Linked DNA regions of Arabidopsis thaliana. The protein of the gene in region 1 interacts with the protein of each later gene in a pairwise test. Each region holds a gene or a part of one and is shown on either strand. Other genes may lie near its edges.

What was found. The genes of interacting proteins can lie anywhere in the genome.
Region 2: the proteins of AT4G13266 (region 1) and MAPR3 interact in a protein complementation assay, tested with the Arabidopsis thaliana proteins (one large-scale study listed by BioGRID).
Region 3: the proteins of AT4G13266 (region 1) and AT5G59650 interact in a protein complementation assay, tested with the Arabidopsis thaliana proteins (one large-scale study listed by BioGRID).

What each region holds. Positions count from the first base shown.
Region 1 is NC_003075.7:7,704,880-7,709,475, reverse strand, and holds AT4G13266 (ankyrin repeat protein), read left to right. Parts: upstream 1-2,582; 5' UTR 2,583-2,665; coding exon 2,666-3,045; intron 3,046-3,181; coding exon 3,182-3,467; 3' UTR 3,468-3,715; downstream 3,716-4,596. Other genes in the region: AT4G13261 (ECA1 gametogenesis family protein (DUF784)), read right to left, coding at 429-878.
Region 2 is NC_003074.8:18,126,505-18,132,510, reverse strand, and holds MAPR3 (membrane-associated progesterone binding protein 3), read right to left. Parts: upstream 3,060-6,006; 5' UTR 2,843-3,059; coding exon 2,535-2,842; intron 1,552-2,534; coding exon 1,158-1,551; 3' UTR 919-1,157; downstream 1-918. Other genes in the region: AT3G48900 (single-stranded DNA endonuclease family protein), read right to left, coding at 68-129, 343-500, 590-657; AT3G48880 (RNI-like superfamily protein), read right to left, coding at 3,503-4,067, 4,274-4,638.
Region 3 is NC_003076.8:24,028,435-24,036,018, reverse strand, and holds AT5G59650 (Leucine-rich repeat protein kinase family protein), read right to left. Parts: upstream 4,674-7,584; coding exon 4,592-4,673; intron 4,482-4,591; coding exon 3,944-4,481; intron 3,836-3,943; coding exon 3,380-3,835; coding exon of another isoform or gene 3,357-3,379; intron 3,298-3,356; coding exon 3,103-3,297; intron 3,017-3,102; coding exon 2,945-3,016; intron 2,861-2,944; coding exon 2,789-2,860; intron 2,703-2,788; coding exon 2,634-2,702; intron 2,539-2,633; coding exon 2,372-2,538; intron 2,281-2,371; coding exon 2,039-2,280; intron 1,968-2,038; coding exon 1,841-1,967; intron 1,762-1,840; coding exon 1,696-1,761; intron 1,613-1,695; coding exon 1,423-1,612; intron 1,322-1,422; coding exon 919-1,321; downstream 1-918. Other genes in the region: AT5G59660 (Leucine-rich repeat protein kinase family protein), read right to left, coding at 1-107, 215-332. UniProt on the Arabidopsis thaliana protein: Required for accurate photosynthesis.

The sequences.
Region 1 (4,596 bases):
CATTTGATGTTTATGTTTATTGAATAAATGTTTTGAATAATAAGAAGACATCTTTTTATATATGCTAATGTTTACTTTTATAAGAAATGACTTTATATGTATTTGTTTGCTCTAGAAGAATTTGTTATTGATTTCATGTTTATTCCGTGGAGAACTATGAGTTTTGAATTATGGTACAAAAACTCGATTTGACAGAAAAGTCGGTTGTTTATATTGATGGAGGTTTAGACATGGTTGTTACGTAGAAACAAAGGTCTCTCTATTTGAATTAAGTAGTTAATGTTGAACTAATTTGAATATGAATAAAAATGTAATATATTGTATGGCTTTAGCTTATTATTAAAAATAATATGACAGCTGTTTTATAAGGGTAACATTTCAAATTATATAAACGCACAGTTACATCACAACGATGGAATACTAGTTTACTATTCAGAAGAGACCGGAACACCAATCTTGCTTCCAACTCTACGAAGACAATCGTTCCATGTCTGTTTGTTTCTTGGAATAGATGCAATATTTTTATATTCATACGATGAGAAGAAGATTTTAATCAATCCAAGATGACAATCTTTGCCAATCTTCAATATATCACGACAACATTTATCTGTCACTAAAGTTGTTGCATCCAGCACGTTCTGGAAAATCTCACCTCCGCATATGGAGCTCGGCTTTTCAACGCAAGCCTCTAGAAAATCATACTGTTTTTGCGAGTAATGGGGAAGCTTCATGTCATATTCCATTGCGGGTGAATTAGCTTCTTCGAATGGAGTTGGAGATATGGCTACATCTTCATGTATCTCCTGGGAGAAAATTGGACAAGCCATGTAAAACATTACAATGGATACAAGCATGACCATGAGAAGAGACTTTGCCATATTTACTTTTGGTTTTGGATGTAAGATTGCTGATATAAAAAAAAAACAAGAGATGTTATATAGGACAATCAGTAAGGATATTTAATTAATAAATTGTTTATTTATTAATAGTTTATGTTACTGACTTCATAAACTTCTTCATTTACTAGTTTTGTTTAGAAGACGTTTGCAGTAGAGACTATAGACTTATAAACTTCTCTACAAGTCATAACTTACAATGTGTGAAAACTCTTTTTTTCTTAATGTTTTTACAAATCAAAGTGATACATTAGATACAACATAATTACACGATTATACAAAAAAATGAAAGAAAGAATTGTAATGAGGACAACCGCATGGAGACTTTCAATCCGAAATACAGCGAGTAATATTCTTGGGAAGTATATGATCCTTAGACGGTAATTACAACGAGTGTTTTTTGTAATTTGAATATTTTTGGGGAGAGTAAAGATTCAAGGACGGGATAGATCAGATTTGTTTATTGACCCTTATAACCTCAAATATTTATACACATTCTTATCTTTTACTGGTTTTAAAACCATACGGGGTTAAGAAAATAGAAGTCTTTAATTTAGAAAAAGATTTTAAAAAAAAACAGTATAGATCTTCTGTTACAGAGGGTCTAGCAAGAGACATTTAAATACTCTTTATTTATTTCTATATTTTAAATAATTAAACTAAATAAATATATTATTATTAAATTTTAAAAACACATTTATCGGTAGTTAACCGATGGTGATGCTCTAAAAATCCAAAAATCAAAAGGCCATAGTTATATGTTTTTGTTGTAGAATTTGAACAAAAAAACTAAGACAAAAAAACGTGTCATCATTGAGATGGCGTTTGAAATAAAAGACCCATAAACAAAATTAACCTAGTTTAGTAACTATTACCAAAAGGAAATCAAATCGTCGTCGTTTGCTTTTTACTTTTACCAATAGTTATTTCGCTTTTGTTTAACAAACTATCTACTTATTTTGCATTATAGATACAGATCTATTATATTTTATTGACACCGTATAAAAAAGACTTATTTTTTATATTTTGCATAAAATCGAGATACTTATAAAAATGCACCGCATATTTTGTTGGAATTGAAAATTTTACCCTAGAAATCTATTTCAAAAATCATTATCCCCTTGCATTACGTCTCGGTAAAGTTCATTTTCACTGCGCATGTTTCTCTATTTGGTAGCAAATATAATTAGATAATTGTGTAGATAGAAACAAATTAGGTTTGGGATTTATTCAGGAAGTTTCTTCTACAATATTGTGATAAAATAAGATTGTATTGGGTACCATTTGAAGGTTCCTTCAAGTTAAGCACATGCAAGTTCAAAAGAGTCAGTCATGTCTCTCTTTTTCATTTTCTCGTTTTCTCCTTTTTTTTTGTTCTTGCCTAATTCTTATTAAAAACCTTTCCTAATTTTTTTTTAATGAACCAAGCCTAGTTTGAAACCCGTTAACTCTATACATCTTTACTAAATTCTCCAAAGAAAGACATGATCAAAAAGACAAATCTATACATATTCACTAATACCCAGAGAAAGAAAATTGAGATGTCGTATTTATTGATATTCCGAAACAATAACATGAGATGTCGTATTTATTGATCGGAAGAAAATTTAAACTCCCATTAGTAACGAACGCAAGAAATAAAACCAAAACTAAAAAATTACAAAAACCAAACAATAACATGAGATGTATAAATCATATATAATCTAAACCAAAAACTACAATTTGAAAAAAGGAAAGCTATCTATCCATCATTTCTTCCGATCATCATCATGGAGGTGAACACTCGACTGACTCGAGAAGAACATCCATTCCAAGATTCATCTGCATGGTTTCTACGGTACCTTGACCACCAAGGCGACTGGCTTGAAAAAACTAGGGGAAACCTGGTCGTTGCTGCAACAGTCATAGCTGCAATGAGCTTTGGGGTAATGGTGAACCCTCCAGGCGGTGTTTGGCAGAGTGAAGATTGTTCCTCCAAAGGCCAAACTACTTTTCAAACCAGAACTTGTGAGGGGAAGCTTGGGACTTCGATACTAGAGCACAATCCTTCAAAGCGTATCTTCTATCTTGGCATGGTCATTAGCAATTTGGTATCGTTTTCCGCCTCAATGGGTATCATTTTCCTCGTCATCATTGGCTTCCGATTCAGGTACTAGATCCATTCATAAACCATAATTATATAATGTGTTTTCTTCTTAAACATTTCCTTGCAAATAGTCGAAATAAATAGTGAGACCTGTTTACTAATTAGTGAACTAATATTATATCTATCTGACTATCTGTAGGAACCGGTTAATAATGACGATCATGGTCATGTTTATGGTGGTGGCGGTTCTATGTATATCGGCAGCCTTCTTCTTTGCTGCGGGGTTGGTTCAACACGAGGATGATTTCATCGAGAAGATTCTTCAAATTTATTTGGGATTTTGGGTTTTGCTTCCTGTTTTAGTAATCCTGATCCAATTAGTGCGGTTTTTATGGTGGGTTATTAGGTTCATATGTTGTGGTTGTGGACGTCGACCACGGTCTACTCCACGGTTGCTGCCTTTGGCTCTGCCACCTGTCCGTTGACGAAGAGGAGGACCCATGGCTCGAACCGACGTGTTAAATGGAAATACTGTCAGCAATGTGATAAGTAGAATAAAGCTCTCCCATGTTGATCATTTTAAAAAGATTTCTATTGTATGTGTGATCTTATTGTTTACGGAGTCGTCACTAGCTCTCAATGGGCCTAATGTAAGACTTTAAAATGTGTCCCTCATTTACTGAAAAATATCTTATACTAGAAACCATCTAAATAAATGTGAATTCCTTATAAACATAACTTAGTTCTATGAAAAAACTATAGATATAATCATATAAATCATTTTATTTGAAGATAGACAAAATACGACATACTAGGTCAGTACATTTATAAAATCAACTAAAATATCATCTATTGCTGTTTTATAAATATCTTTCTTATCAGTATTTTATTTTATTTTGTTGATTTAAATTTATCTGATCGAACAGAGCCACGTTATAAATTTATTATAAATATAAATTATATAATCCATTAAAAGTTATGTAAAGTAAATATAAACAAATTTTATGATAATAATAATTATAAAAAAAACAATCGAAAGAAATTTAGGTAGCCACATTACGGGTTGTGGACTAAAGAGGTGGAAGTTTTGTTCTCGTGACACATAAGGAAAGGGTGTGTTGTAAATACAGACACTTACTCAATGTATGACACTTAAACCTATCATGCATAATTCGATTAGGTTAAATATTAGCTACTTAATAACATAGGCAAATAGCCAAATACAACCAAACTAAATACCGATGACATTTATCATAAATTATTACGCGGCAAAAACTAAAAGAATAAGGAATAGATTAAAAACAGGAATAACAACTTAAAATTATATAAAAATACAAAGTCAAATTGTATCTATGCGGCTACAAAATGAGCATATATAGGAAATAGGACAGAGTTCTAATTGAAAGAAAGAAGTGATTTAACCAAAAGTTCACCGATCAGTGGATTGGCCTAACCAATCGGTGGCTCAAGCATTTTTTCACTAGGTACTAAACTCTAGCAAACGGGCCTCTTGATGGATCCTCTCTTTTTCTAATGCTTTTTGACCCAATTCCTCTTTGTTATGCTCACTTTTGCTTTACAGGTCCATATTCCTAAAAAGACTTAATTAAACCT
Region 2 (6,006 bases), on another chromosome or scaffold:
ACAATCCAAAAACTAGCCATCATATGCAAGGATGAAACCACAAGTGCCACATTTGACATCATTGTACCTCGAATCTTGCTTTTAACCGACGCTTGTAAGTTGGTACTTTGATTCCAGGAATTGCACCATCTACAATTACATGCCACATTCCAACAAGTCAAGTATGCTCAATAGCATTGAAAAAACTAAACTTTAGAGCAAAGCATCAATAAATAAGAACTGATTTGACCACTCATGCTTCTATTACTCAAATCAATTCACAATGACAACAATACAACACTACATAAACCCTAATTGGCTCTTCTGATGGCAATTTTCAACAGTAGGGTAGAATTAAATTACCTGAGACTAAAATGATGGAGCAGTTTAGGGCAATTAGGGCTCGGAGACGATGAAAAAATCCTCGAAGATAAACTTTTTCTTTAGTGGCGCAATAAGATTTGTTCACTTTATGCAATTCCACCATCCAACACGAAAGATCCACGCATACCCTTTTGTTTCTACAGCGATTACGAAGATCTCGTAAAGACTTGGTCTTTTTAAACACCCAGAAAAATTAAAGAGAAATTGAGACGAAGAAACAACTCACTGAAGATGATCGAGTGGGAAAGTCTTCTTACAAGGCTCCAAGACATCCCAAAGATACTTCACTCCCATAGCTTCACCTTCGAGATCGAGCGAGAGAGAGAGACAGAGACAGAAAGAGGGAAGAAAATGATTTGACAAGATATTTGAATTTTGAAAATTTGGTTCAATAATAATTCGAAACCGGTCGGTTTGAAGGTTCCAAACCGAAACCAAAATTATTGCAAATTCTTCACTTCGGTTCGGCAACAGACCTACCATCAAATGTAAGTTGGTGCTTCGATTTTAGGAATTGAACCATCTTCAATTACCAGGCACATAGCAGGATGTCAAATATGAACTAAGCATAAACAACAAGTGAACAAACCCTGAATTATAGAACTGTTTATCGATTAATACTGTAGAAATAATGTATTTTGAAGCTTCCATAACCAGAATTAGATGTCATTATACAAGATCCAAAAAGTACACACAAGGTCACCATTTTTATTGAGCTATATACGACTCATACTTAAACCCTGAAAAATCTCACTAATTTCTCAAGAGAAACTGTGCCTCTCATTACATTGACTTTACTCCTTTGCAGCATCATCATCATCAGTTGCAACATCTTTCTTCTCCGTGGTTTCCGCGATTTTCTCGCCTGTGCTTCTAGAAGTTTCATCATGGGTAATTGCTGAAGCTTCTTCTCCAGTGTTTGTAGAAAGACCTTCCGCAGAGGCAGTCTTTGCTTCGGAAGGTTCTGAACTTTCTTTGCCTTCTCCATCCTTCTTTTGAATGGTTCCGACTTTGACATACTTGCTCATGAACTTGTACTCCCAGTCTTGTAACGCCTCTAGCTCAAATGCACCGAGACCTGAGATGTCTCCAGTCAAGTCTTGGTCCTCAAATGACATCTTTGCCAGAGCTCGGCTTGCATCTTTCCCTGCAAACAGAGCATATGGCCCACCTGGTCCATAAAACATCCTGCATAAAAAGAACAGATGGTCATGCAAATTAGCGACCAGTAAGAGTTAAGTAGAGTTTGAAGAATGAAAAACTACAGCTTGGCACATATGAATATGATTCATCTAGATATGTAGTACAGCTGATGAACTATGTACAAGAAAAAAACTAAAAGTTATGCATACATATACATCGACATGTATATGCGTTGATGAGTGTGTCTGTGTCTGTCGCCACTATGAACAAGCAAAACGGTATGATCACTGAAGTGATTATTTCATCTAGCACAAAACCTAATTACCACAACGAAGTTTTCGGTAACTGGAATGTAAAAGAACTGTCTAGTTGACAAGTCAGGGATCTAGACAACTGCAGCATGGTTACATACCAACAATGTTCGCCAAAACTTAATTTACAAACGTCATGGAACACAAATAGCAAGCAAATGTGGATAATTAATCAGTGAACGATCTCTTTCGCCACAATAGCAATATTAGAAGCCAAACCTTTGACGAGTTTGTACGTTATCAATCTCTACTAATCCAAGATGTAATCTAAATACAGGTTTTTCTAGTATAAGAAAAAGTAGAGATCTTTCCGATAACTTGAATACAATACAATTGTATCAGTGCTTCTAATGGTATTGTTCCAAGAAAAGAAGTGAAAAAACAAACACTAAGATGCAAAAAGCAATAAAAAGAGCATCATAAGATTATGAACAAAAAGGAGAGAATATTCATCAAAAAGATTTACTAAAAGTGTTCAGTTTTACAATAAAGAATCACTTAAACTAGAGTTCGAGCATCAGTAGATATACTAGAATCATAAGATAGATAGTAATTGGAAACTTCGGATTATAAATCAAACAGTCAACCATGATTAACTAACCTAAACCCCAAATCTCGAAACTATTGGGTTGAATCGTTTATTACTGGTAATTTAACTAGTGATCATTTGGATTCAATCATAATTTAATGAACAAGTAAAGATTTCACAAGAAATACCTGCTCTGAGAAACATCATAGATCTGGCCCTTGATCGCCATAAGAAGGGGCTTTTTAGAATCGGAGCCATCATAAAGCTTAAGCTCCTCCTCAGTGATTTCTCCGAGCTGAACCGGCGGTGGAAGAGGCTCCGATTGAGGCTGAACCTCCAAAGAACGAGGTCGGTGAACTTCAGGAGAAACGAAGAAACCGGAGACGACTTGGTAAACGGCGAAAGCGAGAGCAAGTACGGTGAAAAACGCAGCTGGAGAAAGTCCAGTGTAAGCTGTGATTGTTTCCTTCAACGTCTCCCATATTTGCTGAACCATGATTTGAGAAGCTATCGAGAAGCGAAAGAGAATGAGAGAGAAGAGTAACGTTTTGTGTTTTAATTTTCAGATTTATTTGCGATCGAATTAAAACATATATATAATATCTTCAATTTTTGGTATAAAATAAAATAAAATGGTCAAATTACGCAACAAGAATTTTAAACGATTTTGTTTAACAGTCGTCGTCCATAATGACCGTTGATGTCTGAAAAATATTTTCTTTTTGTTCGTGTGAAACATACATAGAAATTTTCTAAACGTTTTTAAGAATATATATCGTTACCTAACTAGTGGTGGCTGAGCTCGATAAAACGGTGTCGTTAATGCCGCCGGAGAAGACTGGTAGGTAAGAACTAAGAAGAATAAGATATAGACCAAAAAAAAAAGGTAGATGATTTGCAAAACAAATGTGACTAATAATGCTAATATCAAGACAAATAATTGTAACAATATTGTTTTATTTTCCTATTTGGTGTGCAAGGTTGGTGGTGATCAAAAGTTGATCACTACAGACATTCATTGGCATAGCCTACAGATATATACACATAATACGATTCAAATCAAAACAAACAACACAAAGAAATAAACAATTCAACAGTCAAAGATGAGAACAATAACAAGTTAAGTCCTTCACAGAGAATGATCACAGCAGAAACATCAAAGATGAAGAGAACTCACTTCATCAACCTTCCAGTCTCCTTCCTCATACTTGTACCATCTCACAATCCCTTCATCGTTTTCAGTCCTCTGACACATCACACACGTCTTGTGATCCATGCAAGTCAAGAATTTCTTTAGCCTTGCTGTTTTCTCCATTATCGTCTTATCGAGCTCTCTAACAATCACCTTCTGCTGAGGCTGCCAACCGCTGTACTCCACTAGGTGAGAGTGTGATATGTTGAGCACTTCAAGGCTTGGTAATCCGTCAAGGATTTTCATCAGTGCTTCCCGCTTTATCGCCGAGCATCTGATGCTGAGTGTTTTGATGTTTGGGAGGCAAGTGATGAGCGTGTTTGCAAAGAAGACCTCGAATGGACCCATGATCTTCAGCTCTTTAAAATTCTTGCAGTTCTTGGCAATTTCTGTTAAGAGATAAGGCGGGTTTGCGATGCTTGGCATTGTTAGTGACTCTAGATCTTTCCAGATTCTTATCGCTTTGCATATACCAGTCTTCTTTATTCTGTTCCAAGCCGGTAGGACGACCCGTCTCAACCCTGGACACCTGCAAAATATTCAGTACAACAAATTTTTCAACTTTTAGCATTTGCGAGATTCAGCTTAATTGTAATTCAGCAATTTTGACTGAAAGTGGGTACATGAACTTAACCAAACCAAAAACTGAACCAACTTTTGACTAAAAAACCATAGTTTACGGCCATGATGAAACAATTTGGAAGACAAATAAGTGGAAGAACGAAAAGGACATACCTTTCTGCGGTGTAAGTAAGCTGATCATCACTCAAGAACAAGTTGAAATGAAAAATCAAGGTCCTCGTGCTTCCTCCGCTAAGGTTCATGGAGAGTTTCAGGATGCGGGTTAGGGCCTCATCAGATCGGCGTTCCACATAGACATAAGGCTCTAATGGGATCTTGATGAAACTAGATCTCATGTTTGACAAATCCACCGTCTTCCAAAGAATCGGATCGCAACAAGCAGCTCTCCATCCTCTACAAACATGAGCTAATCCCGAAGTCAACTCAAAGACGCTAAACTTCTGGAAAATTCTTACTAAGATGTCAGTGTCCAACTCTTCCCATCTCCTCAATCGACGACTCTCATACTCTTCTTCCATTCTTGTTGTACCCTAAACAAGCATAAGAACGTTAATCAACTGTTGTTATCCACAAGAGCTTATAGAAATAGGAAAGAGCACAACTTTAAGAAGTAGGAAAAGAAACACACATCAGTTCTCTTATTCTCTCATAAATATGAAATTCTAATCAATCAATCCTCCCTGAATCCCTCAATTTCCATGATTCCATTTCCATCACAGGATTGATTGATTGCATCAATCAATGAGTTATTACTGCTATAAGTGAAATGAACTACAGAACCCAACTATGATAATGTTGGAGTTAAGTAATCAAAGTTTAAAGTCCCAAAGAGAAAGACTTTTCTTCCCTCAGGTAAACCAATACAAACACCAAAGCTAGATTATATTCTTACATGATCATCATAATCGATCTTCATCACTATTTATCAGAAAAAGGAAACACCAAACCTTAGAAAGGAAAACTTCCGTATCAGAATAGTTCAACAAGGAATTGAAACCAAACATAAAACCAATCTACAGAGGAATATATGCAAGACAAGTCAAGAGTCTCAAACTCTAGAGATTGTGGCCAAGTAATTGAAGATCAACCATTAAAACTCAGAAGAACATGAAAAGACATAGAATTTGACAAACCAGAAGACTAAAGATCGTAAAACTCACTAGGACAGAGAATTAAGCGAAATCTGATGTAAAGGAATCGAATTTCGAAAATCTAGAGGAATAAGATTGAAAACCCCCAAGACTCTGTCAACAAATCAATCTGATCTCTTCACATTCCCAAATCAGTCGAACTAAAAAACCGAAGAGACAGATCTCGAATCGCCATTTTCTCAATTCAGAATTGAACAAAGAATCAAACGAAACATAGACATGAATTAGATCATAAAGAAGAAGCTGAAACACGCAAAGGGGCACTGAGAGAAATGAAGAACCTACCTTTAGGAAGAGGCAAATCGTTTGGCGACGACGACACCGTTACAATCTGTCTCTAGCCAATGGAAGTAGATGATATGAATTTTTTTATGATAAATCGGTTTGGTTTTGGTTTGACGGAGTTTTCAGATTAAACCGGTCTTAAACTCAACACAAACCCTTATCTTTGGGAACAAGATTCTTATTGAGGTTGACTCTTTAAAAAGTAGTTAAATCCGACGGTGGAATACACTTATGAGTAATCTAACGGCTGGTATGCAACTTTGGTAGGTGAGTGTGTTTAATCTATGAAGGGCGGCGATGCGAGAGAAGATAAAGAGAGAGAGAATAGAGAAATCTCTTGTCTCTTGGGTATCTTCTTCTTCACTTTCCTATCTCTTTCCCAATAAAAGGAGTCTCTCGCTTTCTCCAACTTCGCTATCCAAAGGCGTCGACGGTATAAAACCCTTTTCT
Region 3 (7,584 bases), on another chromosome or scaffold:
TCCACTACGTATGAACTTTTCATCCGAAGAGAACCGCAGTCCAGTGAAACTCTCTTCATAAGGAGACAGTTCATTCGCAGGGAGTCCGCAATCCAAACTGATGAATCCTGTTGGCAGACATTTATAAAGATTATTCTTTAAAACAATGCACTTCTGAGAACCAAAAAGTTTGTAAAAGAATGTGTTTAAAAGGGAAAAAAAAGGTTTCTGATACCTTGTTGGTCTTGAGCTCGAACAATATGAATGATGGAGACTAGCAGGAACAAAAGGCCAAGAGAATTCTTCATATAATCATCTTCTCTAACCTTCCAAGGAAAAATCAAGAAAACCATTTGGCTAGGAAGAAAATGTAAAAGCCGAAAGAAAGACTTTGCCAAGCCAAAAGAAATGAGTAAATGCATTTTCTATTCAACAAAATGAATAAGAAAAAGAGGACAGCAAAGTCCCAACATCACTATCATGAACTCAATCATGGAAGATATGGAGCAGACCCAGAAGCACGTTAAGCAATAAACTATCACATCAATTATATTTGACATAGCCTTAAGTGAATGGTGAGCCTAATAATTTCAGAGTACAGATAAATGTATGTTGAGAAATCACAATCCATAATCTGTTTCTTTAATTTTATATACTATTTGACAGTTTTAAATCAATACTCTTCCAACCATTTTACAAATATTTAACCAAAATCATTTGTTTGTTAATGATGGAACCACAAAGAGGTATACTCTTTTACGGTCAATGATTATTAGCATCCAAGCCACACATACAAAGAATGAAAACATCACTAAGCACACATAAAATAATGAAAACATCACCAAGTAACAGGGTATATGATCTTGGCATGTGGATGATCAAAGCAAACATGACCAATAGCCCAACTAATTAGCATGGTTGTGTTACCTGCAGCACATACTACCTTGCCCTCGGAAACAACTCTGTGTCAAAGCTCATGCTCACTTTAAGAGAATTCTGAGAGTCCATATTCATATTTTCCCTCAAGTTTTCAGAAACAAGACATTCTTTCAGTTCATTAGCAACTTGGGACATGTTTGGTCGGTTCACAGAAGAAGGATTCGCACACGACATTGCCAGTTCAAGAACTCTCCATACAGAACGAGATTCGTAATCCCCGTTCAGGTTTGGATCCATGATCTTAGTAATATCTCCTCGGGTAAGCTCAAATCCAACCCATTGTGATATGTGAGACTTTGAACGGGACTGGTCAATCACAGGTTGGTTTGTGATAATCTCCAATAACACAATTCCGAAGCTGTACACATCGCTCTTCTCACCCAGTCGAGTTGTCTGGTAATATCTGCACGGCAAAAGTACATGGTTATACTCTCTAACCAATATATAAAGTGCAAAATGACAACTCACTTTCAGCACATTGTAATGGTAACTAACGACACTTACTCAGGATCAAGGTATCCAGGAGTACCAGCAACCACAGTTGAAATATGTGTTTCACCTCCAATAGGGAAAGATCTCGAAAGGCCGAAATCGGCAAGCTTGGCCTTTAACTGTTCGTCCAGCAATATGTTTGTCGTTTTTATATCTCTATGTACAATTGGTGGTGTGCATCCAGAATGTAGATATTCCAATCCTATTCAAAGGAATGATTATTTGTTAGTCCACCAGAAGGAAAGTCATTTTAAGCTGCCAATATTGGCTAATAAGCTTACGAACCTAGTGCAGCCTCCAGAGCTATTCGTAGACGATTACCCCAGTTGATAAAGGACCCACCGCTTTTTCCTGAATACTTGATTCTTTAGATCCTTGGGAACGTTGAAACATATATACACTTTCGAATCATGAAGAAATTCAAGTTTACCAGATAGATGTTGTCTTAAGTCTCCCTTGGGCAAAAACTCATAGATGAGAGCCAAGTGATCTCTTTCATCGCAATATCCAACAAGACTCACCAAATTTGTATGGTGAACTCGTAGAAGAAGATCAACCTAATCATTCATGGGAAATAAAAGTAAGAGAAAGCGTTAGATGGTCATATTTTTAAGAAGATTATGCATACCTCTGCCTTAAAATGCTTATATCCTTGACTTGATGATTGAGAGAGAACTTTAACAGCCACCTGTTCAGAACCATTTATAGTACCATGACAAACAACACCGAATCCTCCTTCCCCTACAACTCTTTGAAAATTATTCGTCATTTTGATAACCTCTGAATAAGTAAACCTTCTCTTTTTCGTCTCGATTGATGGTTCAGGTGAATTATCATGAACCATTGGCATACTCAGTGGAGGTTGTAGAGCTATAGATAAGAAAGAAAAAAAGTAGGGTATGTAAGAATTCATCGATTTGTTGCAGTTTCTTGATTTGATGAGAGATCTCCTGCAAATTACCTCCCACAGTAGATGACTTTTTCTTACTGAGAACAAAAATAATAACCAACACAGCAACAATTATGGCCACAGAAGCAACTGATGCAACAATCACCACCGGGAATTTCTTCTTCGAGTTTTTTTCTGTGCAGGAACCAGAGAGACAAAGCCTTGGGTTGCCTTGAACTCTGCAAGAAAAAGAGTGTTGTTAAAAACATCAAATCACAAAAGGGCTGTGGAAAATAACTGTGGAATATTAAAAAGTACGTGGGAAGTTTCTTACAGTAATTCTAGTCCCTCTCTTCGAAGACCTTGAGGAAGGGGACCACTAAGATTGTTGCCGCTTAAGTTTCTATTAAAGAAGAGCAATCTTCATGCATACAGACACATGAACCAAAGGAGAACTGAAAGTAAACGAAAATATGCTGAGCAACTTACATGATCACCAACGATTTCATCTGGGCTAGAAATTCCGGCACCACTCCAGTTAGTGTGTTATTTGACAAGTCCCTAAAAGTTTATTTCCAAAATAAAGTAGAGCTCATTAGGTTTTCCTCCATCAACAAAACCAATATTAACTATGGCCATACTTACAGTTTTTCTAAATGTGTAAGGTTTTGAATTGCGGCCGCAATGATTCCAGTTAAACCGCTCGAAGACAAATTTCTGGTGATTCCAAAGCATGATAGTTAACTTATTTTGAAGATAAGTGTCAAAGTGTGCATGTTCATATCTTGGATCTTACGACTTACAAGGATAATACTCTTGGAGGTTTAGAAACATCTGTGTTGTTGCTACAGTTCAAACCATCCCACGCATACTTTTGAGGGACGCAAGGATCTCCTTGCCACCTGATTCTACTCAATTTATAGGCAGCTTCGATATTTTTAACAGCAACCACTGATGTAGAGCTCAAGGATGTGAGAATTAGCAGGTGAAGTTGATTTCTCTAGTTAAAAAAAAAAAACAGACTGTATCTGCATAACAATGAAGATAAGTAACATACCATCATTTTCATTTGTTTCCGACCGTGGAAATTGGATAACTGTGTAGATTTCAAGAGCGTTAAGTAGAGAAGGAAGAGTTGACCTCGAGGTTTTTATTAGCTGGTAAATGCAATTTTCTCCTTTGCATGTCACTGGAGAAAGATTATGGATAGTAGTCACCCCTAACTTTGGAGGGATGAAACCTTCTTCAACAACAGCTCCATCCCATAATATGTCAAATTCTCTGGTATCATTGGTCTGTAAATCTTGTATCTCAGAGAAGTGGCTGTACAAGTAATATTGGTCACCAGGATTGTCTGGTGGCCAACTGATTGTCAATGGCGCGCTGGCATTAGAAGGCGTGGCAGCCGCTGCAAGAGCCTTTTTTGGTGGTTCATAATTGTTATCATTGGTCACTTCGAGAGTGGTGAAAATTTGGGTCCAATCATCCACCATAAAGTAATTATGCCATCTGCGATCATAAATATCATCCGGGTACCTATGTGGAACAAAGGTTGTATTATCCTTGAATAAGTATAGGAATGTTAAAAATAAAGAGTATAGGAATATAGAATCCATCACTGTTAACCAAAAAAAAAACACTTACCGAAGAAAGCCATCTGTCTTGTTGAGATATATCCGAACGAAAAGATTCAAAGAACCATCTGTGAGATAAGAATTATTTCCTAATGGCCGTAATTCCAAGGCTGAGATCAAGGGTGTAGTTGTCCCTGTCTTAACAAGACAAACGTTCAAAGAGTTTGATGTTGGAGTGTGAAGGATCTCCTCCATTGTACCATTCACAAACTTTTGCAAATCTATAGTTGCCCACAGATTAGGTCCTAGATGCAGTTCAAATATCGGGTTAGAGTTACGACCATCGTAATTCCCATAAATGAACCTAGCCCTGATCAAATATTTCCTGTTCTTGTCAACACTCAAACTATAGCAGTTCCTTCTCTCCTCTGGAAAATACCTCAGCCTCGTGTACGGCTTAAGGTAGTCATTCTCCATACTCGCCTGGATTTTACCACTTTCACCAGTCTGGATGAATTCAGCATCAGACGAGAACCGTAGTCCGGTTACTGACTCAGTATAAGAAGACGGTTCAGTCATGGGTAACCCGCAATCCAAACTGATAAACTCTGTTAAGAGAGTGAAAAATCAAAAGCATCTCAGATACAAACATAACTAAGACTCGAATCAGTAAGAAGTAGTAGTGTAATATACATATAAACCATTAAGATTTAGGTACCTTGTTGATCCTGAGCTTGAACACAACCAATAATGGCAAAAGCTCCTAATAGCAGCAGCAAAAGCCAACAAGGACTATCCATAATTGCTTTTAGATATCAAAACCTTACCAATGCCAGAGTTTGAGAGAAACACAGCGTATAAATAGATAAACCCAAGAAACAGTCCAAGCCTCTGGCAACATGGCAAGATGTCCTGAGTCAGTGAAACGAATGAGTAAATGTGTTTTCTATTGCAACTTTACAATTACAAATTTGATTTGTCCCAAGAATGTCAGAATATATGCAACTTGTATTTAGAAAAAATAATATGCAACTTCTGTGTTTTTAAGAGAATATGTCAATAGAGGGTTTTACAGTCACCACTCTTTTAACGCATTAAAAAATGTTCACACAGAGAGAAAGCAAGAGATTTGACTTTCTAGTGGTCAGTGACTTTGATTGAATCATATCGGATAATTTATCACTAATTAATACACATTTTGACGTCTTCATCGACAAGAACAGCTTCTAATCACAAAGCAGAGGATTCACATTTATCAACAATGACTATTATCTAAAGAGAAGTGGGTCAACATGAAGAAACAAATTTCAAGACAAAGACGCCATTATCAGATATCTAAAATCATAAAGTTCAAATTTTTAAAGGATTTTCAGTTACATCATAAACTGAGAAATTACCTTCCGGCCATGAAACTGAGAGAATTTTGATTCCATCTCTTTGAGCCGGCCCAATAACTTTTGTGAGGAGGAGGACGAATGTGAGGAATCTCCGGAGATAAATCGGCCATATACGGCAGCGAAATCTCCCGTCGTGAGAAGGACGGCGATGACAATGAGACCTCTTCATCGGCGATTAGCACTGTTTGAGAACGCGATTGGCGATTTGGAGTGCTGGAGAGTAGCGTTTTAAACGCAACGGTATGTATATTTTTCAACGTTGCTATAATAACAGAAATAATTGTTATGGGCCAAACATGGGTTTTATCAGCCCATTAAACAGAAAATAATGAATTTGGAGTGCTGGAAACACGGTCGCTGGAGAGTAGCTTTTTTAAACGCAACGGTATGTATATTATTCAAGCTTACTTACAGAGTTTCTAGTTGCGTAAGATTTTGAATCGCAGCAGCCATGGTTCCAGTTAGACCACTTGAAGACAAGTTTCTGGTGACATGTCCAAAACCACATTCAAGTGTCACAACTACTAACGGATATTGAAGAGCGTCTGGTCAGAAATCGATATTCTTACGAAAAAATTACGGTCATTATTTTCGTCAGAAAATTGTGACCATTTTCATACAAAATTGTGACGTATTTATTTGGTCATAAAAACGTTACTATTTCGTTATAATATTATGACTTAATTGAATGTAACTAATGTTTGTCACTAATTATGTCAAATTTGTTACAAATTATATAGTCATAAATATAAGTACGGATTTGCGACCAAATATAGTAACTAAATTATACGATAATTGTGACTGAATTTATGTCATGTATAGTTACGAGAATTTTGTAACAACGATGACACAATTTGTCACTGTTTTAGTGACTTTTGCGTTTGGTCATAGATTGTGACATAAGTGTTACCAATTTTAATACAAAAATAAAAACTTGTGAACAAAAAATTAAATAAAAAAACTTCTTCAGTTTTGGAAACAATGTTTTTGATAATACAAAAAAAGCTGTAAAAAGTCCAAATGAAAAAAAAAATTATTCGGATTCGTCACTAGTTAATTCGATATCAGAATTTCCATCTTCAGCATCTGATCCATCTTCGGCTTCTACTACTGGATCATCAAGATCTTCTGGTTGGGCATCTAGATATGATAGTGTCTCGATTTGTAATGAATCAACTTCAACAATAGAATCATCGTTATCATGCTGCATTGCAGTGAAATCCAGATTTTTGTTATCAATACTTTCCCTCTCGGTTGTATCATAATTGCTGCTTCCCATTGTTGATCTTTTCTCGGCTGAGTCATCCGTGGATATGGAACATAACATACCTGATCTGCTTGTGAAGCCAAAACAAAAGGATCATACTCTTCATAATGCCTTTTAGCATTAATATCAATAATCCCTGACTTGTTTCTTCGTATACCTCTCCCAACTTTTGAATCATACCAATCACACTTGAAGACCACGACCTTGAGATCAACATGTCCAGGATAATGAAGCTCATAAATTTCTCTCAATATTCCATAGAAATCAGCTTCTTCATTTGAGCTAGAAGATGTTGTACCTTTGACACAAACTCCATAATTGGCATTCTTTTTGTTCTTTCCATGATCATATGTATGAAATATGTATCCACGACAAAAATACATTGGCCAACAAGTAACTTTAACCATTGGACCATGAACAATACTCAACAACCACTCTGGATATGAATTATCCTTCCAAGTATCCTCCACCTGATTCAATATAAAAAGACACATACTATATTATAAGCTATCAAGTATTTATCTCATATAAAAAAAAAATATCTTACATATTTTTTTAACCAGCTTGAATATTGCTTTTCTCTAAGCTCATTTAGATCTTTTTCACTTATCCCAGGATTAGCCGCGATCAAGCTCTCATCAAACAACCTATATATACATATATAACCATGAAAAATATTTACAATGTCTTTTACTAATTCTACAAAAAAAAACAAAATCCATACAGATGTCCAAATTATTTTGTCATACCTTTCAAATGGTCTTAATTGATCGCAGTTCCGCAAAATATATCTATGTGCGATATGGTAATCTTTATCTTGGAGCCATATCTCACTTTCTTTCCCACTGTCTCTTCCTGCCTGAGAAAATATATCTGGAACTCCATCAAACTCATGTGTATCTTCTTGATTACCACCATCATAGTGTCGATCTCCTGCTCGATTTTTTGTCTTGATGTGTCGATCAAAATAATAAGTACAAAAAGTAGAAATTTCTTCATTGATGTATTGCTCAACGATCGAACCTTCTACTTTTGCCTTATTTTTCA